Linked DNA regions of Oreochromis niloticus. The protein of the gene in region 3 purifies or fractionates together with the protein of the main gene of each other region. This does not show direct contact. Links are inferred from orthologs where the notes say so. Each region holds a gene or a part of one and is shown on either strand. Other genes may lie near its edges. The genes, in order: prkar2b, prkacab and akap1b.

What was found.
Region 1: the proteins of akap1b (region 3) and prkar2b purify together in Homo sapiens (affinity purification with mass spectrometry; 3 studies listed by BioGRID and IntAct, counting the BioPlex papers as one, with this or other methods). This does not show direct contact. The link is inferred for Oreochromis niloticus from reciprocal best matches to the Homo sapiens genes AKAP1 and PRKAR2B.
Region 2: the proteins of akap1b (region 3) and prkacab purify together in Homo sapiens (affinity purification with mass spectrometry; 8 studies listed by BioGRID and IntAct, with this or other methods). This does not show direct contact. The link is inferred for Oreochromis niloticus from reciprocal best matches to the Homo sapiens genes AKAP1 and PRKACA.

Annotation. Positions count from the first base shown.
Region 1 is NC_031972.2:48,754,845-48,765,519, reverse strand, and holds the start of prkar2b (cAMP-dependent protein kinase type II-beta regulatory subunit), read right to left. Parts: upstream 4,547-10,675; 5' UTR 4,252-4,546; coding exon 3,987-4,251; intron 2,900-3,986; coding exon 2,864-2,899; intron 1,807-2,863; coding exon 1,754-1,806; intron 1,664-1,753; coding exon 1,580-1,663; intron 1,326-1,579; coding exon 1,219-1,325; intron 1,074-1,218; coding exon 920-1,073; intron 1-919. Other genes in the region: hsp90b1 (endoplasmin), read right to left, coding at 7,776-7,799, 7,902-7,997, 8,211-8,366, 8,531-8,609, 8,706-8,842, 8,966-9,211, 9,303-9,572, 9,823-9,888 and 3 more. UniProt on the Homo sapiens protein: Regulatory subunit of the cAMP-dependent protein kinases involved in cAMP signaling in cells. Type II regulatory chains mediate membrane association by binding to anchoring proteins, including the MAP2 kinase.
Region 2 is NC_031971.2:31,064,243-31,074,678, forward strand, and holds the start of prkacab (cAMP-dependent protein kinase catalytic subunit alpha), read right to left. Parts: upstream 5,084-10,436; 5' UTR 4,329-5,083; coding exon 4,283-4,328; intron 2,853-4,282; coding exon 2,791-2,852; intron 1,138-2,790; coding exon 1,009-1,137; intron 1-1,008. Other genes in the region: asf1bb (histone chaperone asf1b-B), read right to left, coding at 7,335-7,532, 8,185-8,361, 9,987-10,102.
Region 3 is NC_031979.2:5,260,685-5,270,770, forward strand, and holds the start of akap1b (A kinase (PRKA) anchor protein 1b), read right to left. Parts: upstream 5,077-10,086; 5' UTR 4,924-5,076; intron 1-4,923.

The DNA.
Region 1 (10,675 bases), on a different chromosome or scaffold from region 3:
TTCATCAAATAGCTCACATAAAACAATAGTGTGCACTTATAGTTTGAATTTAAGAAAAGAAAAGAAACAGCATTATCCATGTGTCATTATATGAATGGAATGAATGAAAGGACACCAAGCCTGAACACAAAGAGAGGAATAATGTCACAGACAGCATGGTCAACAAAAGCTTGCAGTTACATACTGCAAGCTTTTGCAAGCAGGAAACATATGTGACTGCAGAGGGCGCCCTATAGCTGACAAACCTTTTCCCTCACTCAAAGGCACAAGCAAGGCTGGAACCTCATGTTTTAAAGGTTGCTAAAGTTGGACCCACTTCAAGTTCATATCCTATCGCTTGTTTACAAAATAAACAAGGGCCATGAATAAAGGGTCGACTGTTTGACTGGATCCATTTTTGGCAGCACTCTTCCTCATTGACCTAAACCAATTATTGGTCAAAAAGGGCTTCCTGTTTGAGATTAGAGACGCAAAGAAAACAACCTACAATCCCTCAGGTCAGCACAGGACATGGCAGCAACCTACCCAGCTTGCACTGAGAGGACATAACTGAGACGTTACCCACAGTTCAGCGATGGCTCTCATAGTCACTAATAAACAGCAGCTTCTCAGAAATAAGTCAGGCTGCAACTGGATACTGAAAGCAGCTGCTGTTATAAAAACAGTTTCATGTTTTGCGGGTTTTGCTTAAGCAAAATAGCATCCATGCTGAAATGTAACAATAAAACGAACAGAGCCTGGAGGTAAAACAGCTGCTTTCGCCTTAATTTGTGTTCACCTAATGATGGTTTCCACACCGTCACAGATAAACTCCCCGTTTACTTAAATCATGACAGCTGACAGCACAGCACGCTATAAAAACCTGATTAAGCATCCAACTGTGCTATTGCAGGGGGGTGCGGTGTAATGGTTTACTCACTAGGCACCAAAGGGCTCCAGGTGAAGTGGCGATTATTGTGGCTGCCCTGGGGGTGTTGTACATCAGCGCCAGTTCTCCAAAGCTGCCTCGGTTGTCATAGCAGCCCACCAACTTTTCCGTGCCATCAACCTTCACGAAAATGTTAAACGTGCCACTGAATGGAAAGAAAGCGGGGGAAAAAACATCTTTAGTTAGCACAAAACAATGATTTCAGCAATTATTTAGCAACTGTGTTCACTTTTTTAAGTTAAATAACAACCTATAAAGCAGTTTGAAATTCAGGAGTAAGTTAAGCCCACCTTTCGATAACATAGAAGTTGTCCCCGTCATCATCTTGATCAATGATATGTTCCCCTTCCGTGCAGAACTTCTCGAACATGGCATCCAGCACCTGAGACATCTCTTCCTGTCATGGTGGGGGGAAAAACAGCAGTCAGACAGTGAAAGAATCACGCTGAATGCACTCAGAGTTCGTTTTCGAGCTTCCAAAACAAATAGATAAATAACCATCTCTAAAAAAATCAGGCACGGTGCACTGGGCATGCAGCAAAAAAAAAAAAAAGAAAGAAATTTGCTGGCCTTGGGCCATGTTTCCCTTTGTTTAATTTAGGATATGGCAGGGCACAAACCAGAGAAGAGCTTATGGAATAATCCACTCACAGGATCCAAATTCTTGAACAGAAGAATGTCCCTACATGCTTCCTGTAGTCTCTGTCTCTGCTCATCAGTTTTGGGGTGAGTGACCTAAAACATAAATCACGAATCAGACTTATAACCTCTGAACAGTTAAACCAATTGTGTAAATAAAATAATCACTGGATGGATGCAGTTTACCCTTGGCTCTTTATCCTCATCATCTTCGTCAGGATTGAATGCTTCAGCACACACTGCATGACACAGACACACAAATCACATTTACATTTCTCTTATTGATGAGCAGCAGTTATTTTGTCCATACAGTGTTTTCAATTCTGGGGCAGTTTTCTTGTTATTAGCGACAGTAGATGTCAAAGGTGTTTGTAAATAGAATTGTTAATTAATCCCTTATTAATTGCTTGTTTCGTCCCGTTCATGAATTATAATGCTGAAGTATACCAGCGTCTCTAGGGTCTCTGAGAGCTCACTTCCAGTGGAACTGTCTACCAGGCCTTTATTTGAAAAAGCTTCACTTTTTTTTTTTTAAATGAACTTTTAGATGAATAACGACACCTTACATAACATCTGAAAAACAAATGTTCATCTTCAGGTGGCCCACGGCACAGACTTCATCCCAGTCAAACAAAAAAGGCAAATTCCAGGGATGATTCAGGACCATTTCAGGCAATAAATCTTTCAATAAAAACAACTTTTCTCATCTTGAGTACAGGAATATGCGGTGATGGATGACAGCACTCTTACCGCATTTCCTTCCTATATGTTAACAGAAAGATGGGGTAGTGGTATAAAAAACTTTCAACTTGGCACAGGCTAAAGTGGAATATAGTAAGTGGCCAGCTTAATGTTAACTTAATTAAATTTGTTTTCATTTCCTGTGCAAGCTTTACAGTGTACTAAGTAGAAGATGTTCGTTCCCCGTCTGAAGTGATAAGAGGTAAGTTAAATACCTAAGTTATTAATAAATAATTCTTTCCATTCAGAAAGGCAGACCAAGCAGCTATCCAAACACAACAAAGTTATGTGAAGCCGCAACTTTACTATTGCTACATTACTCACTGACGGGTTCAAGACAAAGTGGCTTCACAAGCTGTAACAAATCAACACGATTACAATAAGTGGAAGACGGTAACAAAAGACAGATGGAAAAATACTTAAGTATCACTTGTACTGAAACCAATCTGACGCAGCCTCGCTAGTCATGTGTCACAGAAGGCTTTATTTAATGTTTTCAGCTCAGACACTGTCCAGAGTTTCCCTCCTTGACACAACAGGAAGATGGCAACTCACCTGATGCTCTTCGGATGAATCTGTTTATCACAGGGGCTGGAGAAAAGAAAAAGAAAGATATATATCTGGGTTGGGTTTTTTTTAAAAAAGCATGTTAGATTTCACCATAAAAGATATCCATCCATCACAAACTGTTATTGCTAGGAAGGTTTGAGGCTGTTGTATTTCTACATCTACACATCTACAGCACAAGTGGAGCATTCTCATTAGGGTCTATATTCATCTGAGTAAAAGCTGAATGGGGGACAGCTGCTTTGAAGTGGATTTTAGCCTTTGAATCAAATTTAAATGAGAAAAACAGTGCCAAGCTGCTACACAATAGGTCAGTATGAAATATACATTAGATAGGAGGTCTCATCCATTAATGGCCTGCCAACCAGTGCTGACCGGGGAATCTCGTTGAAATATGGGAGGCATTAATGGTGGTTGGTTGGTTGGTTGGGGGGGCACAACAATGACCCAAAACACAGACGTTTAACAACTGCATGTGAGGCATTTCTCCTTATGTAACCATTGCAGCCAGTCTTGCAGAAGCCACCACTCATTGGGATGCTGTGTCAGAGCTCTGGGTTGCTTCTGGCTGCACCTCATTACACTCTAGCAGCAGTCACTGTGTTAAATACTTCAGGAAATGTAGGCCTGTCGACGGCAGATTGTGTACTGCCTGCATCTATATAACAGCTGAAGCTGTAGCCCTTTATGTTTTACAAGCTTTGTCTTTTTTGGGGGGGGGTACATATGAAGGGGAGGCCCACCGGGCCTGCACCTGAGACAGAAAACATTCAAACGGTCCAGATGTTTTTATTACTATCATAATTATTTATAAAGCAAACGTAGAAGCCGCAGTGTGCAGGTGCTATTCTCTGAGCAGAAACGTGAAGAGCAAAACACGTTCGTGAAGCAGCATTGAGCCTCGGTGACCATATATGGCAAATGACAGAGCCGTTGTAAATGTATGGCGGCAGCATCAGCGCGCTCGATGTGGTTTCTCATTCTCTCCCACAGAACAGCCGCGGTGCAGCCATCCATCCATCCATACATGCTCACAATTCAAAGCAAAGCATCTCGAGTCACGTTCAGCATCCCCCTGACAGAAACACGCACGGTGAATGTGTTAGCCCACCTATGAATTCCTCGTCATCGTCGTCGTCCTCCTCTCCGTTTTCCGAATCGATCTGCATGGCTTCGTCAATGAAATTGACCGCTTTCCCAAGTCTCGGGGCCGAATTTTGGTCATTGCCAAATGAGGCCTCTTTGGTCTCGTTCTCCTTAAGCTGGGTGAAATACTGTAGCGCAAACTCGAGCAAGTCCCTGGGCTGATTCCTCAACACTTCCACGGTAAAGCTCTGTAACAGCTCCGTCAGTCCTTCAGGAATTTCTATACTCATTCCTGTTATCAGTCTATGGATGTGGACAAAACCGGTTTGCTGCGAATTTCAGTGATTCAAAAGCACCCAGATCAGGTTTTCTTCCCGTCGTGTTTTTTGGTTGGCTTTTTTTTAAAGATGCCGAAATCAGCAGACGGGTGTGTAGTCAGACCACCCGCTCAGCAAGCCCTCCACAGCGGATCCTCTCTTTTTCTTGAATGAAAATGGCTCTGGATTTTTGGTCCGAACATCTTCTGCTGCTTCTGGCTAGGAAACCCACGCATGTGACCCAGGAATCCATGGCAACCACCTATCCAGAGATTGCGTATGAGCAGCAGCGGCGCAGAAACTGCAGTCAGTCGCAAAATACAAATGATGGGAAAGAGAAGCCCTGGGGAAGGCTCTTTCAGTCATAGATCGATTTTTCACTAACAGAGATTAGATCAAATATCCTGCGGTCTGGCATGTATGTTTTCCGTGGTTGTTCACTCACACTTACCCTAAACGATTTAAAATATGATTAAATAAGAAGACATCGCATATTATTTAAAAAGAAAAAAACAACAGCAGTAGACATAGCAAGGCTAAAGACAAAAAGGTACTACCATGCAATGATAAACACTGAATCTGAGGGAAATGTATCTATTTTTTTGTTTTGCCACATGTAATTCATATTTAAACAGGTAAACATTAAAACCTAAGACCTCTGTAAAGACCTACAGCTCAATAAAGATTAGTTCTGTATTTTTATTTAGGCTTCTTTTTTTTAAAGGAGCTAATAAGAAAAGATCGTTTATGATAGTTTAGAGAGTTTGGAGGCTCATTTCTTGTTCCATAGGGAGAAAATAATAATAAATGTGCTGGATATTTTAATGTCATGGGACCTGTCAGAACACTTTGACCACGCCAGATGGAAGTTTCATTTCAGAATCAAACGTTCCCCTGTGATATCACGGACTTGTGTAGCTGAACATTTAGTACATTAGAAAAACGGCTCAGACAGAAAAAATAAGTCTAGGTCTCAAACTAAAGCTCATTAATCATAGACTTCATATGGACATCTATCAAGAGATGAACTAATGATGCTCTGCTGTGGGTTACAATATGACTGAGCCACAAAAATGCATATCCACAATATGAGTTCAAATTTAGTTGACACTTTCTCGTACCAGAAACATTTGTAGGAGTGACATGAGTTCACAAGCCTGCAAAACTACATTCTGTCAAACAGCTAATCCAGAGAGGAAGGGGAAGTAGAGCAAAACAAGGGGGTAAGGGTTAAACTGGAATGCAGAGCAAGTGGGAAGTCTGCCCACTTGCTGAGGTTGGGTGACCTCAGGTGAGTTTTAGTCATGGCATGTGGTGGCACAACTACTACAGTGTGAGAAATCCCCCCCCCCCCCCCAAAAATCCCTTCTCATATTGTGTTGGAATTTCAAGGCTTCCAGCAGAGAGAAGGTTAGTTTGAGGGAACCACTTGAGGAAACAGATAATAACTGTGCTAAAGGAGCACAGCTATTATCTGCCATGGTTATCATTCCTCTGTGGCTCCACTATGACACCCCTCCCCCTGCTGTGGCCCATATCTGTCACCCTTTATTAAGAAAGGCGCAGCATTTCTCACTCCGGCGAATGGGAGCATGTCGATGGAGTGACCTGTAATGCTCCACTGCTGCAGTTTAGCTGTTAGCTTTCAAACTCACTATTCCAGACCACTGTGAACTATAAGACACCCCCCCACACACACACACACACCCCCACACACACACATCTGAATACAGCACAACACCATCATTTCATCTACTGTAAGAGTCAGCTGCACAAAACACACACACTGTGCGTCAGCCCTGTTCACTGAACCATAGATCCTGAAGACGGTTTCTACTTTAAGCTTCACAACAGACCAGTAGAGCTTGCATTGGTGTAATTGTTAACTACACTTAAACAGCGAATTCTCTGTTGATATACAACATACATATATATACATATACATATATATACATATACATATATATATACACACACATATATATATATAAAGAAAAGAACAGTTTTCTTTTAAAACAACTTCAAGATACTGTTCATCAGATGTAGATTTTTTTAGGCCTGCATTTTTTTCTTTTATTCTACAATGGCATTCTTTCACGTGCATTTCAACTAAAGAAATGGGGGGGGGAAACATGTCTTTTTGCAATACTTAAATAATACTTGCCAAGTGAAGTGGGGCGAGATCAGCTTCGAAAGGGCTCCATGTTTTTATTCTATGGCTTCATCTCAAAAATGTGAAGCTGAAACCTCTTAAGTCAATTTAATGACGTAATGATTGAGTGCGTCCTTTAATTCATTGGCTGCTAGAACCCATTTTGAATGTATTAGTGCCACCTACTGGACATCCCACTACATTACAATGTATTGTTAAACTAGGATACAGTTGATGTTGTTTCCTGTTTCAAGTGCCATTAAGTTGCCGTCTTTCCTGAGTGTGTTGGAACAAATGTATTTCTTGGGTAAAATAAGCTTACTGTGTAAAATTAGATAATTAATTCAGTGGTGAAGACGCCCCCCCGCCAAAAAACCCCACAAACAAACAAACAAACCCCAAACAAGTTTTATCTCTTGCATCTACTGGCTGTTCCACATCCTTGTGGGTTTCATTGCTTTCCTGTAAACCTTGACAAGCCTGTGGTCTGCATGTTTAGGTCATCATAACAGATTCTGAGATAAACCCACACAAGTAGATTTTATTAGATTTAGCATTTAGTGTACAATATTATTATAGTCAAAATCACTATATCCAACAATTAAGGCTAGGCACCTAGTTCTGCTCACTTTCAGTAAAGAAAAAAAAAAAGAAGAAAAAAAAAAAAAGGCATGGCTCAATGAAGACATCCTGTACAAGATGCATCAGTCTTCATGACATCTTACCAGTAAGCCATCTCCCCAGGGTTGCTGTAGAGAAACCACAGGGGTGTCACCCTCAGTGCACTTAATATTTTTTTTTTTTTAAATGCATCCTTCCTCATTAAATTTGCATAAATGTGCAACCGAAAAGAACAGTAAAGTATCCTAAATGTAGAACAGCTCATGTAACCATGACTCTTTACATCATTTCAGTCTGAAAACAAACTGTAAAATGTCATGGCACCCTATGTATGGGTAGATGTATTACACTATAAGCTACAGCCAGACTGTACTTTTGATATGTTGGGATTAAGATGACTGAAAAAGAAAATAGTAGCCAAGACCTGTCTGAAAGCAACTCTTTCAGTTTTGAATAAAACACCAGAAACGATGCAAGCATTTTTTCCACGAAACATTTATTTGATCAATAGACAGGATCACATCTTTCCATAAACAGGTCAGTTAAATATTAACAAATTTACAGTCATGAGGAATGTAATACAAAAGAAACAAAAACAAATATTCGCTTTAAAAAACCCCAACCCAGGGACCCCACCCAGAAATAATGTGGCCACGGTGGCACTGAAACAGAGACTTAAGTCCATTTTCCAGCTCCACTGTTACACGCTCTTCCCTTCAGTGCTTCACAGTTCATCCTTGTCTTTTGTCTGTAAGAGTGATTAGAGAAAAGTCAGAAGAGTAAAGCACTCCATCATCTAGATTCTTAATTTTACATTCTCCTCAAGCAAGAGTGTGTGAAGTGTTCTCACCGTTTCTTCATCATCATCCTCATCCACAGTCTCCTCTTTATCTTCAGAGTCATCTTCTGCTGGTTCCTCAGGCTCCTCCTCTGGTTCTTCTTCAATCTATAAAAGAGTCATGATCATTAAATATATCCTACAGTCTTAAATATCACTGCAAAAATACTTAACATTTTACAAAGATTTAAAAAGCAGAGACAGGACTAAACTCAAAAAAGGTCACTGATGGAAGAGGAACCATTAGTTCAGACACAGATACCAAAACTGAAACATCTGCTATGCAAATTAGTATACCATACAAGAGCTGCAGTTACTTGCCTGTTCATCTAGTGGTACATTCAAGCTGAGTCGGAGCATGCGCTCTATTCTGTCTCCATAAGCTTTTGTATCAACGAGCTGGTATCCTGAGCGCAGTGTGGCTGTCTCAAACAGAACCACAGCCAGATCTGATGCAGTCTGGTCCTCAGCATCGGCCTGGGGGGTGTGAGGAAAAGAAACTGTTCAACTATGTGCTCTGATTGGTCCATTTTAAGTTTATTCATGTAATGAACTACATTTACTAAGTAATTTGATGGTAATCTTAGTAAAGGACAATTACTATAGTACAGATGTACAAAAATGACAGTGGTTAAACTCACATTGACTCTGTTAAGCAACTGCTTGACAAGAGGATGTTTGGGGTTGAGTTCTAGTGTTTTCTTCTGGCTGGCATAGTAACTGGAAAGATTAAACAGAAATACAGATTTAGAGCAAAGCAATAGCAGGTGGAGTAATAAATGGACATGCAAAGATCAGCACGGGATTAACACTCACTTTGTGGAAATGTCCTTTCCTGTCTGGTAGGCCTGTGCCTTCATGATCCTCTCCATGTTTCCTGACCAGCCATACTGACTGGCAACCAAGGCGCAGGGTGAGTTGGTTAGCCTCTGAGAGAGAACAGCCTTCTCAATCTGTTGGGGAATAAACAGCAATGCATTAAATGTTGCAACAGACATAAATGGGCAGCTATAGCCAAAATTAACTGCTTATACAGCTGGCACTCATTTCCCATTCTTTTAATATCACAGCATTACCTTATCCTTTAGAGCTTTGTCCTTCAGCCAAGTTGTGAGAGGTTCGAACTCCTTCTCCAGGGCCTCCCTCTTCTCCTTGGCCTTTTCACTCTCGTCAAATTTGACACCTTCCTTGGCCACGTTCTGGAAGCGTTTTCCATCAAACTCTGGCAATGCCTGGATGCAGTACTCATCCACAGGCTCTGTCAGGTAGATGACCTCATAGCCCTTCTTCAGCAGCCTCTCAACGAAGGGAGAGGACTCAGCCTGTAGCGGATGGAAGAACAAGAGACATGAGAATTTCAGCTAGTGTAGGATAGTTTACACTTCTTTCACCTGGCCAAAAACATTCACTCACCTCTTTCCTGCTGGTGCCAGCCATGAAATAGATCTTATCCTGCTTCTCCTTCATGCGCTCCACATACTGCTCCAGGCTGGACAGGTCTGTTTCACTGTTGGAGGTTTGGAAGCGCAGCAGCTTAGCAAGACGGGTCCTGTTGGAGTGATCCTCAATCACACCCAGCTTGATGTTGGTGCCAAACTCCTTCCAGAACTTGTCGTTGTACTGTTCCTCTGCAATCTTCTTAATCATGTCCAGAGTCTTACGGACCAGCTTCTTGCGGATAACCTGAAAAAGATAAAATAGGTATGACCATTTCATACTGCATTAAATCTAGTGTTAGTTATTCAGAATCTTTAACTTATGCTTTAATTTAACCATATTCTAGTGCCCCCTGTTATTCCTGAAAGCACTTTATGATTTGCGCTCATTAAAAATTGCTTTGTTGCTTCATTATCCATTTTAATCAGTGGCTTAATTGGTTAATGATGACTAAATGATGGAATGGGAAGCGAACAGGGCTGCATGTTGAGCTCACCTTGAGCAGTTTGTGCTGCTGCAGAGTTTCTCTGGACACATTCAGAGGAAGGTCGTCAGAGTCAACCTAACAAAATAAAGTTTCCCTTAATCACGGTGCAGGTGATATTAATGCAGAGACCAAGCACATAACATTAGCATGAGATCGTCGAATAAGAGTTAAAAAATAACTCACCACTCCCTTGATGAAGTTCAGGTACTTGGGCATCATGTCATTGAAGTCGTCTGTGATGAAAACTCTCCTGACAAACAGCTGCGAATGGAAGGCATTTACTTTGAAACTCAGTTTTTGGGGTATTGCTGAAAAAGTTGAATAAATCTGATGCTAAATATTGCTTAGGCTACACACCTTGATGTAATCGTTCTTCTTGGAGCCATACTCGTCAAACAGCCCACGGGGAGCTGAAGTGGGCACAAACAGGATGGACTTAAAGGTGACCTCACCCTCAGCTGTGAAGTGGATGTGAGCCATAGGGTCATCATTGTCCTGTTGGAAGATGAAAGATGGGTAAAGTTGACATTAGTATACCAGCCTACAGAGCCGGTTTGACGAAGTATTACTGGTTGTGTGCCTACCTTTGAGAAGGTCTTGTAGAAAGCCTTGTACTCATCTTCCTCAACCTCCTTAGCCGGCCTCTGCCAGATGGGCTTGATATCATTCATCAGTTCCCAGTCCCACACAGTCTTCTCAACCTACACATCACACACAATTATATAACTTTTGAAAAATATACATTTTAGATCAGACATATTTTCACAGACTGCTTTCTGAGTAAAATAGTCCATAAATCTTAATGACTCAATGGGACTTTAACCCACCATAAAAAACTGTTAATGATCACACATATGTCAAT
Region 2 (10,436 bases), on a different chromosome or scaffold from region 3:
CTTGAAAGGCAATGTTTGTTTGCCAGGGTAACCCCAGTTCTCTGAAAACTGAGGGAGTTATTTCATCGCATTGCCCTATTTGCATGTGCAAAAATGGCTTGTGTGGGGCCAGAGGCTATTTTTAAAAGGGTTTGGGGACCCCATGTCCTTGAAGTGATTTGGTCTGTCTTAGACAGATGTGATGGTAGTTTAGCTTCTGTTAAAGTATTGGGTTTACCCTGGGAGAACACCCTGTGGACCAAAAACTCCATCTAAATTGTTTACTAAAGTTAATTTTCAGTACAGCAGTATGGTGCTATGTATGCAGAGGAAAAAAAATAACTAACTAACTAAATAAATAAATAAATAAAACTACGATGCCCACCTCCCTGAAACAAGAGCAACATAGACTTTTTTGTGAAAAGAGCCATAGCAAAACAACACCATCGTGTTCATGTATATTCACTCTCTCTCTCAGGCATGTGTTCTGTCAGTAGTACTCGCAGAAGACTGTAAATTGATGGATTACCTTCATGTCCCTACTGATGCAAAAATTAATTTGCCAGTACTTTAGTACAGCATGATAGATATATAGATATAGATATTCATTCTGATTTTGATTTTGCTAAAATCCCAATCTAAGTGTTTTATCAATAAGATGATAATTAAGCCATAATATAATTATATTGTGGATTAATTATCATCTTACTCACAGATTAAGTCAAAGATTTATTTTAACTGAATCTTAAAATTACTCTGGTGTTATCCACGTAAAGACAACCTCCGCTCTGTCACTACAACTAATCCCTGCTTTCAGCACAAGTGGGTTCAGATAACAATTTCACCTGTATTTGAAGGGCCTTTAACAAAATCCATAAAAGAATAAAATCTTCCGAGTGCAGTATTCACATCAATTAGATTTCTGTTTTCTATGACAATCCTGTGGGAAGACTAACTAAAAATTGGACGGGAGCGCATTTAAACACCCCAATCCCTCTGTGATTCTGGTGACCCCTGACCCAGACTGACCTTCTGCTTGTTGAGGATCTTCATCGCATAATGTTGTCCCGTTTCTCTGTGCTTCACCAGCATAACACGACCAAATGAGCCCGTGCCCAGGGTTTTCAACCTCTCAAACTGCTCCAGGCAAGCAGTGTTCTGAACAGACAAAACAAAAACGGTTAGCTGATTTTTGTGAAAATGGGATATTTAGGGTCATGTTGCTGGTAGCGAGTTTTTATTTTCAGCTACTCGTGTGCTCACATTTACCACTAATTCTTGTATTTTTATTGTCTATATTCTTCGCAAATGTTATAAACAAATATGCAATAGATAATATATGTATAAATTAACATATTTGGTATGTATGGTTTATAATTTCTTAATAGAAAGTAATACACATGTGCATACATGATACAGTGTAAATTTAAAGAACAATAAAGAAAAAACTATAACTCATGTTTGTGGTACCTGAACTGTTTCTCAGGATGCTGAGATGGTCCTAGAAACTTATTTATCATAAATAATTGATGTTTTTCTACATAGAATCAAATCGTGCTTAACACTTATATATTTTTAGATAATGACATAGACTTTCATTGCATACATATATGATAAATATGGGTTTAGGTTTAGATATTCAGTTTTATCTCAAAAGTCAAAACAAAAATATTGCCTTCACTGCAATTTTTATACCCAGTGCCATAGTTTGCGCAGCTCAAATGAAACTGGATCATTGCTACATAACCTGTTTCACTGACAGCTGTAGGTTGTTTCTTCATTACTTCTTCCTAAGTAGATTTTTTTAAAAAAGTTTTGGAGATGATTTGAAGTGTGGCACATGCATTTGGGAGCTATGAAGCCACAACATGTGTTTGAAAGAGCTCTCATTTCAAGTGAAACAAGCTATCCTTGAGATCCATTTCAAAAAATGCAGTACTGGTGAGCTTTGCTCAGTATTACAGTATTGCAATGGGCCATTTTTATCATTGTGTTAATTTGTCCATTTGACAATCTGAAAATAATAAATAAAACTGAATAAAAATTCTGTATATTTTTTAACCCCACATTCATCATTTAACTTCAATAAGCTTAATAAAGGATAAAAAATAAGCCAGTGTCCCAAAACATATGGAGAAAATTATATACAGTATAAATCAAACAATGTTGATACAGATTTACAGATTTAATGGTTTAATTAATGTCTACGAAGAATATTAGGTGATCTAAAACAACATTTTTTTTATAGCTTTAGGGTTGATACAGTTGACATTGCCCTACGGGTTATTTTCTAACTTTCTTACTCATACTGCATACAATATGAAAAATGTATATTGAATTTTAATTTGCAGCATTAAATATGACAAAACATATGAAGTTGTTTTATGTCACAGTTTACTTGAAACAGTAACTTGCATTTTAAAAACAGTCAGACAGTAGCATCATCACTAACCAATAGCCAATAAACAATAAAACTGATGCTATTTACAAACCAATTTATTTATACCGCCATCTGAATATATCAAAATTTTCAAAAGAATTGGCTGTCATTTGCATAAAGTGATAGCTGGTAATACTGAACAAATCAACAATAAAGACATGAAACAAGTGAAATTTCAGTAGCTATGATTGGCATTTTCAAAAGCAGCAACACACACAGAAATAATGTATATATTTCTTTGGCCATAAAGAATTAGATTGAAAATTCTGTTTTTCTAACATGCAAACAAAGTTAGGATTAAATTACAAACAATATATCCTGTGTATCATATTTCTGAAGCTTAGTGGGCAGAAGTGCATGCACACACTAACCTGTGCAGGATTCTCCCACTTTTTGAGGAAGTCCTCTTTGGCTTTAGCAAGGAATTCCTTGACTGTGGAAAAAACACACACCAGTGTTTACATAAGAAAGGCTTTAGTGGGGCATCGGTGTGTATACAGAAGGTGAAAAAACAGCAAACTAAAGAAATAGAACACATACTTTATTGTCTGAAGTCAACAGCACAGAGTCTGACTAAAAATTGTTAATTAAATCAAATTTTATTCATATCCATCGTAAAACCACCTGCTCATAACTATTACTCACAAAGACCCAGAGGCTACATGGATGATTAGCCAATGTGTCGAAAGTTTTGAGACGCACACTGATCATCTTATCTGTTTGTAAGGTAATTCAGGCTGTGTTGGGATTTTTCTAAATGTACAGCAATTAGTCCAGATATGACTGATAGTCTGAAAACTACATGCAGAATATTCTCAAGTGCAGAAAAAAATACCTGAACTTGAAATCTCATCAACAAGTATACTCATTTAAAAGCTCAAATTCCAGGACACATTTCAAAACACTTGTTCACCTATTAAATATCAACACTTTCCATTCTCACCTTAACTAAACAACTCAGCTGCTCAGTGACCAGGATGCATCTATACCAAGTAGCTATGCCATATACTTAGATGTTTTGATTTAAATGTCAAGCAGTCCTTTTGGCATACCGGTTTCTTTGATTTTCTTAAAAAAAGATCCATCACAGTATTCAGATTTACTTCAGTTTGTGACACATACATAACTAAATAAACCTTTACACATCATTTCTAATAAATTGCTATTCCAAAAATGATAAGTTTAAAAAAAACCCACACACAACAGAATAACCTCAGACATGAGCACATTCATCCTTCTGTATTTGGACTTACAGTACAGCAGACAATCAGACTAGCTCAGTGTCAATCTGCAAATCTTAAGGGGGTCCACCAAACAAAATAGCCCCCACACTTTCAGCAGCATCTCTTTCCAGAGAGCAACAGGCACTGTGTGTTTGGGAAATATCTGACACATAGCTTGTTGTGATCTCGCCAAGATTTGAGTACAAGAGGATGTGAAGTTGCCAAGATTCTTGCAGCTTACAATAGCTGTTGGTTGTTTTGCACCTCGTGAAGTGATTTGGCTATGGAAACTGTACTACCACCTGCTTTATCATACAGCAGCATCAACTGAATCCACAGAAAAAGCTCTGTTCAAAACGGACCACTACTACTGAGCACCTATTCATCTATCTCTATATTATGAGGTTAGTTAGTTGAAATGTAGCTGCGTAATTTGGGCTCTTGAAAGCTATCCTGGCAGAGGCTTATTTAAGGACTGAGCAGTATGAGTGGATCTTTTTAAATCAGACAGCAGAAATAGGCCGCTGCATGGAATGTTAACTGAAGCTAACATAGCCGCTGTGTCACACCGTCTCTGGTGATTTCGTGAGGCTGGAACAGAGCAATGTGTTATGTGTAGCGTACAGGCGATGGTACCCACCGCTTTCCATCTCGCTGCCCTTCCTGGCCGTGGGCGCGTTGCCCATGATGACAACCTGTCAACGGGAGATCCGTGGCTTTTTGGCCGCCCTGCAGCCTTCTCAAGCCGGTCTAATCTCGATTAGGTCTGATCGGTATTTTCTAAATCCAAAAGCACCAAGCGTTAACTCCGAGGTCTTGGTCTTTAATAGCCTGGCAGATGCTGATGCGGTGCCAGGGCGAGACGAGATGGTAAAGCGGGCTCACTCACTCAGTCATCAGCAACGGGCGACCGATATATAGCTCAAATCCACGGGGAGGATACCTTTGAGGTATCTCGGTCGTTGGGGCTTCACTGGACCGTAAGGCCGAGCTCGGCGCAGATGGCCTGAACACGGAGGATCCAGTCTTCGCCTGTCCCTCCTTGCAGCCCCCGCCGAACGAGCCCCCCCGGCTCCCCACCTCTCCCCAGCCTAAAGAAAAACGACACCAGAGGCGGGGACGCGATATTCTCAGCCCAAGAGCCGCCACTTTTCGTTACTAAACCCAGCTTTTAAAAATTAAACCTCGGCGGGGTCCGACGACGACGGGAATTCACCCAAATCAACATTGGCCCCCCGTAGCCTCGGAGACGAGCGAGATGACGGAACTACAGTCGACTGAACGTCCCGCCCACTAGCCAGAACCGGGTTTTGATTGACAGCTGCAACCAACCCGCGGATTGGCAACCTATGTATGCCGGTATCCCACGGAAGGCACTGATTGGCTCTTCGCAATCCATCAAGAGCGGCACCATCCTACCGCCCTACACAAAGCGAGTGAGAGGAACGTCACCGATTATTTTCCTCCCGACGACATACCCGCCCACTTTTCCTGGTTTCCGTCCTCCATTGGCTCGATGCAGGCGAACCGTGGGAATCTCGGCGAATGTGAAGTTGTCTATTGGCTGTGAGTAACGATTGGCAGGTAGAAAAAAAACCCCTCTTCAGCCCCCCACTCCCACCGCCGCCAAGCGACTGATACACGTTTGGCCAAGTGACGTCAACCGCGAGCTATTTTTAGAAATGTTGGTCAGAATTTAACGCACGCGCGGCGCGGTCGGGCTGGCAGGACTTCTAAACATTTCGCAGACCGCCGTGCGTTAAATGATGAGTGTATTTAGTGAGAATAATAGGAAACAAGACGGTCGTTCTAAACACTCGAAGAGATACCGTCTTTCTGAATGTTTTACAGTCAACCCTCCAACTGCCTCCTTCAACACAGCACAACCACCCCAGCACCTGGATCACCTGCAGGCTTAGCCTAGCATATGACCGAGAGTCCTTTTATTACCAGGACCTTCAAAAGGCTCGGTTTCACATGGATTTGCATCTGAATATCTAATTTCAATGACAATTTCACCTTGTGATGGTAATTTAAAAAAAAGAAAAAAAACTCATGGTATGAAAAAACATCCATTCTATGAATACGAGATCTCTCAGCTGCTGCAGGGTTTGACACCATCATTTGGGCTCACACGACACCACCACGGTTATGTAAAACGGACTCAAACAACCAAATCACTAATTCTGCTTATACATGGTTGTAACTTACATATCACAGTCTCACCACAAAAGACATGATGATGAGAACAATGATGTCAAATGCTTCACAAGTTAATGGCAGACATTTATAAAAAAAAAAAATTAAATAAAATTTAAGATTTAAATCTACATGACCCCTAAAACCTACGAATCATTTGAGCGCTGCTACAGGCTGCTGTTAAAGGACAATTGAAGCTGCATATGGGTTTTACCGCTAAATATGAATATATGAAAATACACTGGTCAAATGTGCAGACATGTAAGAAGTGGACAGAGGTAACAGATGGATGGATGGGGGAGTTGGTCCCTTCAACTAAGATAAAATGGGCAAGAGAACACAGACAGGCCCCCCTTTCCTTTTGTGCAGTAGTTGCCTAGCAACATGAGGCTAGAGTGAAAATGGTGGTGCTGCATTTTATGAATGAAATCGGAAAACAGAAAGGAGCCAGAGATGGGAGGGCGAGGAGCAAGCCAACGTGCTGAGTCTCTCTGCTGTTGCAGTGCTTCCTTCCACACAAGTCAAGGTGGAAAGCAGCCGTATGTAACATGTTCTGATTAACAGGAAACACGACAAGGTCAAAAAAAAAAAAAAAAAAACTTTATTAACCCCATCACTGTTGTTACAAATACTGAAGCTGAGAATGTATAGTAAGTACAAAATGAAAACATGCCTTCTTGTTTTGAAGACAAAATAAGAACAGGGAAAACATTATTTACAGCAAGCCTAAATCATCCACACACACACACACACACACACAATGCAATTTGGCATCCTTCATCATTACCTACATGTTTTGCTCATATAGTCGTTTTATGTAACAGTAGGTGAACTGGGGCCTATTCACAGAAGCAGGTTTACAGAGTAATCTGGATAACCCTGGGGAAAAACATGTTAATGCGAATAAAGCCACTTGATGCCACAATATCATAAACACGGCCCATAATTTAAACCCAATTCCCTCCCCCCAGTAGGTGTCACAAGAGACAAATCTTACAAAGAATGAAGTGCTCTACTATAAGCAGCTAGGTGCTACATCCTTCCCATCACATAGCACTAGTTGATCTGTGCAGAAAAGGACAAAATGAACAACATGGGTATCAGAATCTTGAGTTTGTCCCACACGTTTCAGGGCTGTTGAAGCGACCTGGCCCTGCACTGATGATCTGCACTTCTTTCAGCCAGGCATGAAATATAATCTTATACAGAAATACAATAAATTAAGGCAAATCTGACTGTGCACACCTGTGTGTGTGTGTGTTGAAAGGAAGTGCGTAAAGAGGAGGAACCAAAGGTGGTAACAATTCCAGACCAATCCCATTTTTGAGTGCTTTATAAAAAGATAATGTCTATGCTGTGGTGTCCTGTGCTTTCTGTTAAAGTCCACATGTTATACAGAAACATCCATGGCCTCCTTGTATAAATGTGTGTTTGCAATGTGGGCGTGTATAGATAAGAAGGGCTCCTTATCCATTGCATTAATTTGATGCCTCTTACATGCAGTCCATGGAGTTATCTGGCATCACTCCTAGATGTGGCATCTTTCCTGGTATACAGGATGGAGGGAACATGCCACTGATGTTGGGGGACGGGTCAACATTCTCACTGTCTTCCATCTTGTCTGCCAAGCCCTCCCAGTTGATATGAAAACGGGTGACACGAGGATTCGAGGCCAAAATATTCCTCTGGAGCTGCAATGATGAGAACTTGTTAGAAATAGGGGTGGACTGCTAATGTTTTTACATCAGGACATAATTAGATTACTAATTAGGGAGCTCAATAGTTAGTTATGACAGCCATCCTTAGGAGTGCACATTTCCCCTCAGAACATGGGATAGCTTTGAATTAAATACAATGAATAGTTGGTTTTATGTTGGATTTGTAGAAGGAAAAGACCAGTGTAAAGAGAATAAAGCACAAGGTAATGATTTTAATGCTAATGTAGATACTGGTACAAGGAAGCATGAAATACACTTTTTTCCACCGGAACTAGTGCATTCTTTTAAAACAATGCAAGACCAAATAAAACAAAAACACAGTGCTAAATAATCCCCAGTTAATTCTACTTTTATTTCGTACAGGATGCTACAGTCATCTGTAATTGTACATTTCCGGGCACAAGAGGGCAGCAGAGAGCCATTTATAGTACTTTTCCACAAATATGGCCCATATTCTACACTTAATACCATCTAATGCTGATGTAATGTGGTCATATCTGAATAAAATAAAATAAATTAGCACCATGGGTACACTTCAGTGATTAATTACAGTAAATGCAGACAGCTGGAAACAGCTTCCCTCAGTATTATTCATGATGGTCATTGGTGTACTTGTGTATGTTACCTGAGAGTAATCTGGTTTGAGAGGTGGGTTTTCTCGTAGTTCAGGGTCCGTGTATTCATTGTTGACATAATAGCCGATGCGGATGAACTCCTGTCCACGGTAGGTGCAGGTTATAAGGACTACGGTCACTCCTACAGCATCGCTTTCTGGAATCAGCCCTGTGTTAGGAGCGTCAGCCTGATAGGGTAAATGAGCACAGAGAAGAAATCAGATCAATTCTAAGTAATTATCCTATAAATGAAACAGTAACTGGTTAACCAAACCAGGGATATCAAATACATTATATATGATATTGTGCAAAAGGAGTATGTGAAAATCACTTTTATAACAATTTTGAAGACATGGAACACTCAAAGTGCTTTATAGAGGTTAAAAAAGGCAAAATGGATACACATGAACTGAGCAAAAACACAAACATAACCCAAATGCCCGTCTGAACAGATGCATTTTAAGCTGCCGTTTAAAGGATGCCACTGACTGGAAGGTGCAAAGAATGAGTGGGAAGCTGTTCCAAAGTTTTGGAGCTAAGGTTTGGAAGCCACAGTCTACCCTTAGTTTTCAAAAGGATATATGAAATTACATGAATGCTTCTGAGGACCTACGAACTCGGCCTGGAGAATAGGGGTGGAGCACTTTGATAATGGAGATGAAAAACCAAAATTTTAAAACTGTACTCTAACCTGACAGAAAACCAGTGCAAAAATGTTAGAAGTGGACTGACATATGAAGCCTTTTGAGAGTGAGTTAAGAGTCTCACAGGTGCATTTTGGACAGACTGAAGGGAATTAATAGATGCTTGAGTCAGAACAGAAAACTCCATTCAATAATCCAAACAAGAGGAGAAGGAGGCTTGGACAAGAACCTCCAATTCACTTCTTGACAAAACAAGCTAAGGTGCTTGTCCATGGCTTCCTTTCCTCTCAAAAGCCGTCATACATCAGATGAAAAATCTGACAGTACTTTTCTGCACTTAAAGTTCACACCACTTCCTGAAATTTCTCATCGTTACGTGCCATTTTTCTTTTACGCTTGAATGGTTCATAGGTCATTGTTAAGTGACTGTAAGAAAAAAAATCCTTTGAAAATGGTTAGGTACAAGGGCTAGATTGAAAATGAGTGAGGAAAAAAGTAGCCAATGTCCAAAGAAAAACTGAAAGGTCAGGAGACTTTGGAGAACTATTGTTCAAGACCACAAAAATGATAAGTCTTGACTCCTTGAAAGCAAAATATAAAGAAATGAGGTTTGACTTAGTATAGGCTTGCACAGTACTGTAGAGAGACATGGTTGACAATTAGCATCACCAAGTTCAAGCTTAGTCAGAAAAGGGGATAAGGGAAAAGGGGATGCTGCCTCACATGGAGAAGCTCATCTGTCTTGGGATCTTGTTTAGAGACAAGGGTAAAGTGGAGCAGGAGAATGACAGATCTATATTATTTGTTGCGTTCGATTGACATCTCTACCTTCACCCTATAGACAAAAGGTAGAGACTGACAGAAGTAGACCACAAATACTAGCAGAGACAATCCTCCAAAGGGTAGCTGGGCTTAGAGTAGAACCACTACATCTCTGCGTCTCCTGCATCAGGTGTTGTAGCAACATGCACTGATCCCAGTGAGAACCCAGCCATGATGTCTCTTGGCTGGTCTGGGAACCTCTCAGTTTCCTCTCAGAAAAGCTTTGAAAAAAGATGCTGGGACAGTGCGGTCTGGTATGTCTGCTTTGAATACTGCTCAATAGGGTTTGTTTTCAATAAAACTGGATGTTAAGCACTACACGATAAAAGCTCACCGAGAGGACTCACCTGAAACACAAACATGTGTCTGCCAGCTGGTACAGGGCCCACTAAAACAGAGTCCAAAACCTGGTCGTACTCCTCACTCTCAGCTGAACCCACATAAATGATCTTCCATTCCAGGTCTGCCAGTACACAGAGGACAAATAGGGAGGTTTGTTTTTAAATTATTATTACAAGGTAGGTTAATGTTACCTTTTTAAATTAATAATTATAGTTTGACATGCACAAGCTACTTTTTTATTTTACACACACACACACACACACACACAGCTGTAAAATAGGGCATTGTGAATGATACTTTCACTAAAAGGGTCACTTTATCCAATTTACATAGAAAATGTTTCATGGTTGTCCTTTTTTGTTCTAATTCACCTTGTATTAGTGATGCATATAAAATTTACCTGTAGCACTGGCCAGATATAACCAACACAGCATCAGTCTCAATAAAAACCACAA
Region 3 (10,086 bases):
ATAGTTTTGTATTTTGTTTAGGTTCAATACATTTTCTTTCTTCTTACACATTTGGTGTGCAATAACATAACTTTAAAAAAATAAAATAAAATCCATGTAACATGACTTTGATTACACAGAAATTTTGAAGGAGTAGGTAATGGATAATAGGAAGGGGTGAAAATTGCTAAGAATTTAGTTTATTCTGGTAGATTCTGATTCTCTCATCTTTATCACTCATTGATTCCTTAACTGGGATCTTATCATCTTTGCTTTGACAGTGACCACCATTGCCAAGCAGCATATCAACGACATTACATTCCTGCAAATAAATTGCACCAGTTAGGCTAATCACACCAACACAAATCCCTATGTTATGAGCACACATTTATGACCCTTCTCTAACATTTAAGTATGAAAACGAAGCCGACAGCACAAAGCAAAGTTAAAAACCAGCACAAAAAGACTTTAAAACGATCATTACAGTGATTCTACTGTAGAAACATGAAAAGGTAGAAACGGAGACCATGTTTTCCTACTCTGACAGGCAAACTTGAGTCAGCTGATTGTAGTACAAGTACAAATGGAACCAATAAACGGGATCGACAGGAAAACAGACTAACAATTCGAAGGAATTGGACTACTGAGAACCAGTTCTCGATTCCCATCCCCAGTAATAGACAGTGAATTGTAAACTCGCCACAACTCGACTCGGATCGACTGGTTTTCCATTCGCTATTTAAGTTTGACATTATTAGCCGTTTCCGGGTCCAAACTCCACTTCAAACAAACACTGCAGCATCACTGAGAGTTACAAACTGTCTAAATTCTTTCATCTTTAACAAAATGATCAGTGTGGCTGCTCTACCAGGTGTAAAAATTTAACATCCAGGCATCCACCAAAACAGAATTTATGAATTTTAACGGAGTCTGAAGTTAGAAACTAGCGAGCTAACTTACTGGCATCTAAAGATGATATACCATGTTCTGACAGAGGGATTTCTGAAAAACTAAAAGTACAGCTCTGCTATCACTTCTGTCTTCATTTATGTTGGAAAACTAAACAGTAATGATGTTTGTAGGGTTACTGAAGTCAACTAGCTGGTATATAATGATGTGCTATGTTGTTGCTAGGTACACAGCTATGGTTAGAATAATATACACACAGTGAAGCTGGAGGACAACCACTAACTTTTTTTCCCAGTCCATAAAAGTTAACGTGACCATTCCCAGTGGTTATCGACAAATGCAATTGCATGGCAGGATGTTGTAAATGGACGAAACTTCAGTCAGAAGAACAACTGAGAATCCAACCACAATACAATGTTAGTCATTAATGTGCTGTTGCATGGGCAAAGGTTTTTAAAACGTGCTGCCGATGAATAGTGGTAATAAAAACTAGCAGCAACCCAAGCGCATTGCTGCCCCAGACAGGTCAGGAGTACAAATTGAACATTTTTTTTTTCTGTTAAAAATTAACAGAAAAACAAACAAACAAACAAACAAACAAAAACACAACAATAGACAAGCCATGGTGGCTTGTCTATTGTTCAGATTTACATGCCACTTCATAAATTTACCTGCATTTGCCCAGTGGTAGGTGCCAATTCCCACCCCTGGATAAAATGCATTTTGGGGATCAATCTTTAAAAAAAAGACATCAGAGGTCAAATGTGTTGGATCAAAACTATGTGATATTTAGATTTCCCATTTACCAGTATAATTTTCTAAATGTTGCCAATACAAACACAGAAGTAGAATTTTAAGCATAGTTTTAAAGATGAAGCATTTTATGAAAGGTTGACATAATGAAAATTTGACCTTATTTGACCTTGAAGAAGCAGTCAAAGCTCCAAAGTAACATATTTGGAAACTTCATGTTTTCGACCTGTCCCTTTCTGCAAAGATTTCAGTCAGAAATCTTTCATATTTGTTCAATGTAACTGAAAGGGATAATGCTGCGAGTGCTGATAGCTTTGTTTTGAAAGCAGGGTTTTTGACTAACTCTCTCTCCTTTTAAAAAGAACTTAATGGCATTCACAACTTGGCCAGAAAGCTAATGCTGTTAAAGTGGAAATCCTCAGCATCACCTATTTATATAAGGTGGATTTGGGGGGGGGGGGGGGGTTCCTTTATTTTATTTAATTTGGGTATAAAAAAAAAAGAAAAAAAGAAAAAAAAGACAGCAAATCACTGAAATCTTTAACAAGACTGGCTATGGATATAGACAATGGAATAGAGCAAACGTTAGTGACCTCTGCTACCTGGATAATGTATGGAACTCGCATGAAACCCAGTAACAAGGTGGCTGGCACACTATACAGGAACATGTGTGCAGAGTATGGCCCGGAAGTCCCAAGGTCAAAACGGAATATGCCCCTCAGGGTGGTTGAAAATGACCAAGCTAAATCCTGTGGGATTTCACACAAACTGGTGATGGCTAAACAACTAAAATATTACTAGTGGACAAGCAGAGGAATAAAGCCATAGTAGTACATGTAACTGTACCAAATGAAAGCAAAAATCAGGAAAAATTAATATGTAAAGCTTGAGAAATGCCAATGGCTGAGAGAGGAGCTAGAGAATAAGTGATGGGTAAAGGCAACAGCAGTCCCAGTGGCAATCAGAGCACTTACAGCAGTGACTCCCAAACTGGGCGAGTGGTTCCAGCAGATCCCAGGAGTAACATTTAAGATCTGTCCGGAAAGGACCAGCAAAGATGCAACACATGAAGCTCCCAGACTTCATGTGTAGCTTGTGTGTGTTGCTGTTAAATCCAAGGACAACACACTCACCATATAAAGGTCACAATGGAAGCAACAAGCTGTAAAATGAAGAGCTATCCTTACAGGTCAGACAAGTCTTTATTGGTTCCTTTCCTGGCCTTATAGTCAAGACTGTCTATAAACTGTAAGATCATCTCTTACTGTGACCTTGGCTGTTCAAACAGGAATGATTAAACTATTTTACACCTTCTAAATCTTACATCATGCCAGCACAGACAGACTAGTGTAAAATTATTATGCGGCCTCAAAATACCTGCATACCAACAAGTTCAGTGTCACTCAATTCCCACCTGTTTGCGTTTAAACTTTATTCTTCATGTCATACATTTTCTCATATCCCTTTAATCACCATCATTCATGTTAAATGAACCTTGGGACTCACCATCAACACTACGACAAATTAACAATGAATGTGACACTGTTTTTAAATAAATGAAAACCAAATTATTTTATGTAAACAAACCGAATTGCAGACTGACCGGGATATTAATACAATATGCTGTCAAGTCTTGCATACCCTATGGGCAAAAGTCAAGACCTTACAGGAGCCATGCTGCTACTAACAACTTAGTAAACTTAGGTGGCGTTGATAGTTGCTACAGCCACATACCAGTCCACTTTACATGTGACCCAGGCTCCAGTGATGTACAGAAGGTGCGCCTCAACACCCCAGCCGTCTTTCAGCAACGACTCAATAAATGCTAAAAGCGTTCAGCTAGCTATGCCTTAATACTACAACTGTAGGACATTGTGTAGTTCCCTATAATGCTAGTGGCGATGCTTTCTGTCCCAGCATAAAAACAAACACACACACAAAAAAAACAAAAGAACAAAACAAAACCGTGGCGTGTGGTCATGCACTCCATCGCCACAGACCGGCTAACACAATTAGCTAGCTAGGAAGTACAAAGGCCACAATGTGAATTTCATATATAATTCTCGAAGTTTAACGTTACATGACTATATGGTAAGGAAAAATGAATTCACTGTGCATACCAAAATAACATTTTCACTTGTGACTCAAGCGATTCATTTTGTCTTTATAAGGGGATCCCTCACAGTTCTTTGCATTAGCCAACTAAAACCTAAATAACCTTCGAAAGAAGCGCAAAAATATATACTTAGACCCTGCTTATGAGCAGGCAGCAATTTATAAGAACTTTAACTTACTTTACGCTGCCAGGTCTTTTTTAATGCCGAATTTTTCAGATTCTAAAAAAATATCCAACAGCGAAGTTATGCCCCGTACTAAACTGAAAAACCTGCAGCCAATAAGATGTTAAATCCCATACGACAAATGCATATAGGGAGTTTGGCACCGTCTGGGATGAAACCCTGTAGCAGAGATGGCTGTGACCTAATGCAAACACGAAATACAGCATGGCTGTTTAAGGAGGCCGCAGTGCAGGATACAAAGCATGAAGTTAGCTACATAGCAACCACAGTGGCTTTGACGTTTATGAAAATTAACGCTAGCTAAACATGAAAAAAGATAAGCTAATGGCATGTTCCCTGCACTGTATTATTTTTAGACTACGTTCGTATGTGGCTACATTATTAAAGCCACTTCAGAGTTTCATATCCCCGACTTACAGACGTACTGGGCCACAACATAAAGCTGTGTGATACGTAGTCGTTAACTATACCCAACTGCACCAACGAGGGGGTATCTCTAATCGATGCAGGGTTAAAGGACATTTGAAGCCAAAGACTGCCAATGCCCCGCATGGGCCTTAGACCTTCATGCTAGCCTGCTAGCCGGCCTGGCGACAATGACTCCCAACTCTGGGCCAAAATGCATTTATTATTATCCAAGAACCAATGCTCCTACGTTGGCACGTGCACAGCTCAACAATACAAAGCAAGTGCGAAAATGTAACTTCTACAACAGAAGCTACGTGTGCTGTTCTGAATGGCAAGTTAGGAGGAGTTGCTTTGTAGGCTAGTTTTTCAATGACATGGGATCACATGGTGACACAATAAACATTTGACGACCCACAGAGAACACTAGAAATGCAAGTGAATGTCTTTTCCCCTAAAATATACTCACATAAATGTGAATGAAACCGAACCATGCATGCAATACATAGAAAACTAAAAGCTAACAGTCTCTTTTTTCAGTGTGCCATTTCCTTCCCGGACTAATTATTTTACTTACAATGTTTTTGGGTCCTCGGTACCGCAACGATGATAGCAACACTAACAACGTGAGCTTTTTTGAAACGTACGCTAGTGGAAAGTCACACTCTCCTCCCCACGTGTTTGACAGACCAGTACCAGTCTTAAAAAAAAAAAGAGGAAAAAAACACGCAGACATAACAGCTGATCAAATCTCGCGATACTCTAAAGTTTAAGCCGCTTGGAGTCTTGCGTCAACTGAGAATGCAGTAAAGGTAAACGTTTCTTCTGTTAAGCTCATGCAGTTTCATAGGTAGATTTAATATCATCCTGGTCACCTCTACTATAAAAATGGGGAAAAAATAACATTCGTTTTTGAGTACAGATGGGACAGAGCACCGTTTTCATATAATTTTACTATATAAATGAATGTCATCAGATTAAGGCAAAGGTCACGTTAGAAGTAGCACAACTTTACAAACAGAAGGATTTGCACCTTGTGTGATAAGTAAAATTAAATTGGTGCATGTCTTTGTTATACAATTTTCTGCTGGACAACCTTAAATAATGGCATTTATTTATTTATTTATATCACTTTGCATTGCAGACCAAGAACCCTACAGCTCCAACAGGACAATGTACCCCTCCACACAGCAAAGCTGCTCAGAAACAGTTCTAACATCAAGACAAGGAGCTCAAGGCATTGACCCAGCCTTAAAATGTCATAAATCCCTTTCCAATCAAAAATGCAAATCCCTCTGTTATTTAAGCTGAGAGCGAGAGAGAGTCATTGTGCCCAAATCAACTGCCCTTACTTAGACACACCTGACCAGTCTCACAAAACTGCTTTTCAAAGTAAACCAAACATTGAGCACTCACAGAGTACAAACTCTCTCTGAAGGTACCTCACTATCTGGGCAGTATTTCCTTTTAAGGCATTAGTACTGTATTTTGGTTTTCTTTGTTGTTGTTGTTGTTGTTGTTTTTTCAAACATACTTTAAGTTTGTAGTGCAGTAAAAACAAGTGCAAAGGCTTTTGTTATATGCCCTGTTGAAACCCATTTATACTTGACATAAGTTTAAGTATAATTATTTTGTGTTCATTTCATTGCTTAGTAAAGTTTGTTTACATGTTTAGTAATAAATTGAACAAAGGTTTTGATCACAAGATTGTTTTATATTTTTTTAGAAAAAGAAATATACTTTTAATAAACTTAGCACAACAATTAAGGTAATTAGTCATTGGCAGAGAACACTTTGCAAGTTTTCATGGATACAACCCACATCCTCAACCCACAAATGCATTTTAGTTACAACTGTGGCACCAATCAAGGAGAAATAAACAGGCTTTCCAGTGGTATAAGAAAAAATTAATTGGGAGAACATCTCTTAACTGTCATAGATACCAAATATAGGCTGAGTGAACAAAAACAGCCAATCAAACAAAGAATATAAAAAATCAGGAGATGCCTTTTGTCGTAAAATGCAAATCATTCAGCAAAGTAAGAGACACTTTAACCAGCTCAGTTCGATAATTCCAAATTTCAGTCAGCTAAATGACATGTCAAAATTAAAAAAAGTTTTACTAACAGACTGCTTAAATAAATTACAATAAATCTTTCCTGATAGACTTTGGGTTATGTTAATACTGACCTGCAAGCTAATTAGAATTGCACAATCTCTGTTTTTGTCTTATATAATGCATATACATATACACTTGCATGTTTCAATAAATCACTATACCCATTTTCCATTTTTCCTGCTAAAAGTATTGAGAAACTTAGACTTAGAGACTTAGAGCTTTTTATTGTCATTGTGCAGTTTCTTGCACAGCAAAATTGGGTAGCTGGACCACAAAGGTGCAAAAGTAAGAAGAGAAAACAATGTACAACAAGGGGAAAAAAATATAAATAAATAAATAAAATAAAATAAAAAGCAATGTATATGTATACATATATGTGAGTGAAACTATATACATGGTGTATGTGTAAGAAACATTGAAACAGAAAAATTGTGGGTCTGTATACAAGGGCAGTTATATAATATAATAAATAAAAAAGGGTGGAGGGGCTATGGTAATTTAGGGTGGAGATGGTAGTTCTACTGGGACCCAAATATTGCACGAGCCAAAAATATTGCACAGAACATGGAAAGACTGAGATATTGCACATAGATGATCAACAGCAGTGTCAGAGTGGATGTGTTGGAGAAGTCTGTACGCACTCTTAGTTTGCATTAAGAGTTCTGACAGCCCACGGGAACAAGCTGTTCTTTAGTCTGTTGGTCTTGCACCTGATGGATCTGAACTTTTTTCCAGAGGGCAGGATGTTGAAGAGGTGGTGGTTAGGATGGAGGTGGTCCTGAGTGGTCACCCAATCCTACACAAAAGAGTCATCTCACAAAATAAAATCTGACATCTAAATGTTCACTTTTTAAAATTGCTATTCAGAATATGAACCGACTTGTCAAGCACAAGAAAGTGGCACTCATGGGATCATTTTCTGTGGAAGAAGAGTTATATCAATGTGAAACATCCATTTTATATTCATTAGATGCTGCCAAGAGAGTGGGAAACCCTGGGTTAATTTAGAGAGTTAATAACTAGCTTTGTGTGGCCACTTATTATGTGATAGTTGCTTATTTCAATGATGACAAAATGGTGATCAACTCTGCTTCCTGGTTCCAACTCTGGATAATTAAAGTAAAAGAGACAGACAAGCTGCTAAAATCTATAAAAGAGAGGAAACATAACAAAACCATTAAGTTGGTCACCAAACAGCAAGTTAAAAAGGTAGATCACCAAAAAACACAATCCTGGTTGCTGGTCAGCAGTGTGTGGTGTAGTTTGGAAGTAGTTGGAATGTTGGAGTGTTTCTTCAGTTTAACTATAACTAGTGGACTGGATTTGGATAACAGATGTTGGATTTGATAAATTGTGTAGGAGGACAAGAGGAGTGGTGTAAAGGTGAAAACCTGCACACCACTCCTCTTGACCTGTACAGGTCCAGTAAGACAGAAACTTTTGGGCTTCCTCTTGGCCTCCTGTATCGTCCAAGAGGTTCATTGAAGCATTGAGAAACCACAAACAAGAAGACACCGCTGCCATCATCGATACAGGCTGTTAAACTGGTGGAAAATGTGAGTAGAGCTAGAAAGGTTTATGTTGCACCTATAAACAGAGACCAGTTAGGATTAAAAATAAATGTTACGTCTGCTAGTGATGATTCCTTTTGTATATTTTTTCTCAAATTCAGAAAGCTTTGGAGAATGTGGTTACATGGGCTAATGATTGGGGCTTTAAAATATCTATTGATAAAAATAAGTATATGATATTTGGACATAAAAGGAAGGTTCCACCTAAACATCTGCAAGTCTATGGAAATGACCTTGAGCGAGTCAAGCTGTTCAATTTTCTTGGAATGTGGTTGGATAAGAGAATGACTTGGAAAAGCCATATTGAGAATATCTGCATAAAGTGTGAAAAGATAATGTGCTAAGGTGCCTAGCCGGGTTTGAATGGGGTGCCAGTACAGAATCATTGTTGATGATATAAAGAGCCAGCATTACATCTATCATTGACAATGGTTGTATGGCATATGCATCAGCTGCCCCTTCAGTGATCAAGAAGCTGGATAGAATTCGGTGGAAAGCACTGGACATTTTTGCACCACTCCACTTCCTTTTAATAGAAATGGGTGAAATGCCTTTGAAAATGAGAAAATATAAGCTTGGGCTGAAGTATTTAATAAAAATAAAAGGACAAAATGTAATAGTTCTAGTTAAAACTGAGCTAGCACTGGGATCAGCAAAGAAAGTCAAAACCAACTTTAGTGAGGAGTTGAAATCCATGGCATGAAAAAATTGGATTTGTTGATATGGATGTGTGTCCTCCTGTCTGCTGGTCAGGCATACCATCATGGCTCATTCCAGGTCCTGAGGTTAACTTATAGGCACTCAGCAAGAACGGGAAAAAGAACTCAGCAGATATCGTAAAAATAGCTTACTCAAGGATGGAACAGCTTTGGAATGGCTATTTACAAATTCATACAGAAGGGTCAAAGGTCATATAAGTAGCAGAGTGGCGTGTAGTGTGTACATATGTGAAAAGAGAGTTTAAAAAAAGCTTGTGTATAACAGATCGCATGTTTAATCTTTACAGTAGAGGTGATGGCAGTTTTATGGGCTGTCTAGTGAGTTGAGTACCAAAGGCATGATACTGCATCATATACAGTGATTCAGCTGCAGGTTTATTAACATTTAAGGAACAGAACCAGACCTGACCTGACCCTAGAGACATCTTAATGTAATGCAAGGAGCATGTTCATCACAGGGAAAAGCTTTTTAGAGACTTGGAGAAACTGGGGAAACTGTTTTCAATATTTTTAAAAGGAAAGCTGTTACATTACTTATGCAGTGCTAACCTGTATGGGAGAATATAGAGACCTGAGACTGTGTGGCTAGCTTGCTTATTTAGAAAAAAACTTGGGAAGTTGTAAACAGTAGATGGCAGCAACACGCCATTGTTTATCTAGCCTGCCAACCCCAAAGAAGAACCACTCTCCTCTCCACAAAGCGGGAGTTATCAGACACAACACACGTTTAATTGCTAAGTAAGGTCAGCTGTACCAAAAATGGTTTCACCAATATCTGTAGGAAATATGTACGACGTTGCTTCATTTCCTCCCATTTTTTGAAAACAATGTGCCGGGGGTCAGGCGTTCTCGTCAGCTGTAGTGAACCTTGACCTCACCGTCAGGTATCAAGCTGGTGGGTTTGAAGTTTACACATCAACATTCTCGCTTGAAGATCTCTTAAAAGTTTATTTTGTGTCACAGAAACTGTAATATCGCAAACTTTTTACCCGCTCTCCTCTGCCATTTGAGTTTTGGACGAAATGCATTCTGGGATATTTAGCTGCACGTCACTACCGATGCGTGCTCCATAGAATGGGAGGAGCGAGAACACATCCGGGCATTTTGAGCGTACTTGGAACAGTACTTGGTCTGCGACTGATGACGTATCACAACGCAAGTACACGCAAATACGCATATTGAGAAATGGGCCGAGTTTTAAAGACAAAAAGTAAAGAAAGTATTCCTGTGTTTCACTTAAAAAGGGATTATGTTCAAATAAATGGTTATGTGAGAATATGCTAGAGACCAATCTAACTGAAGTAGAATTACATAAAGTGAAACGTGTTATA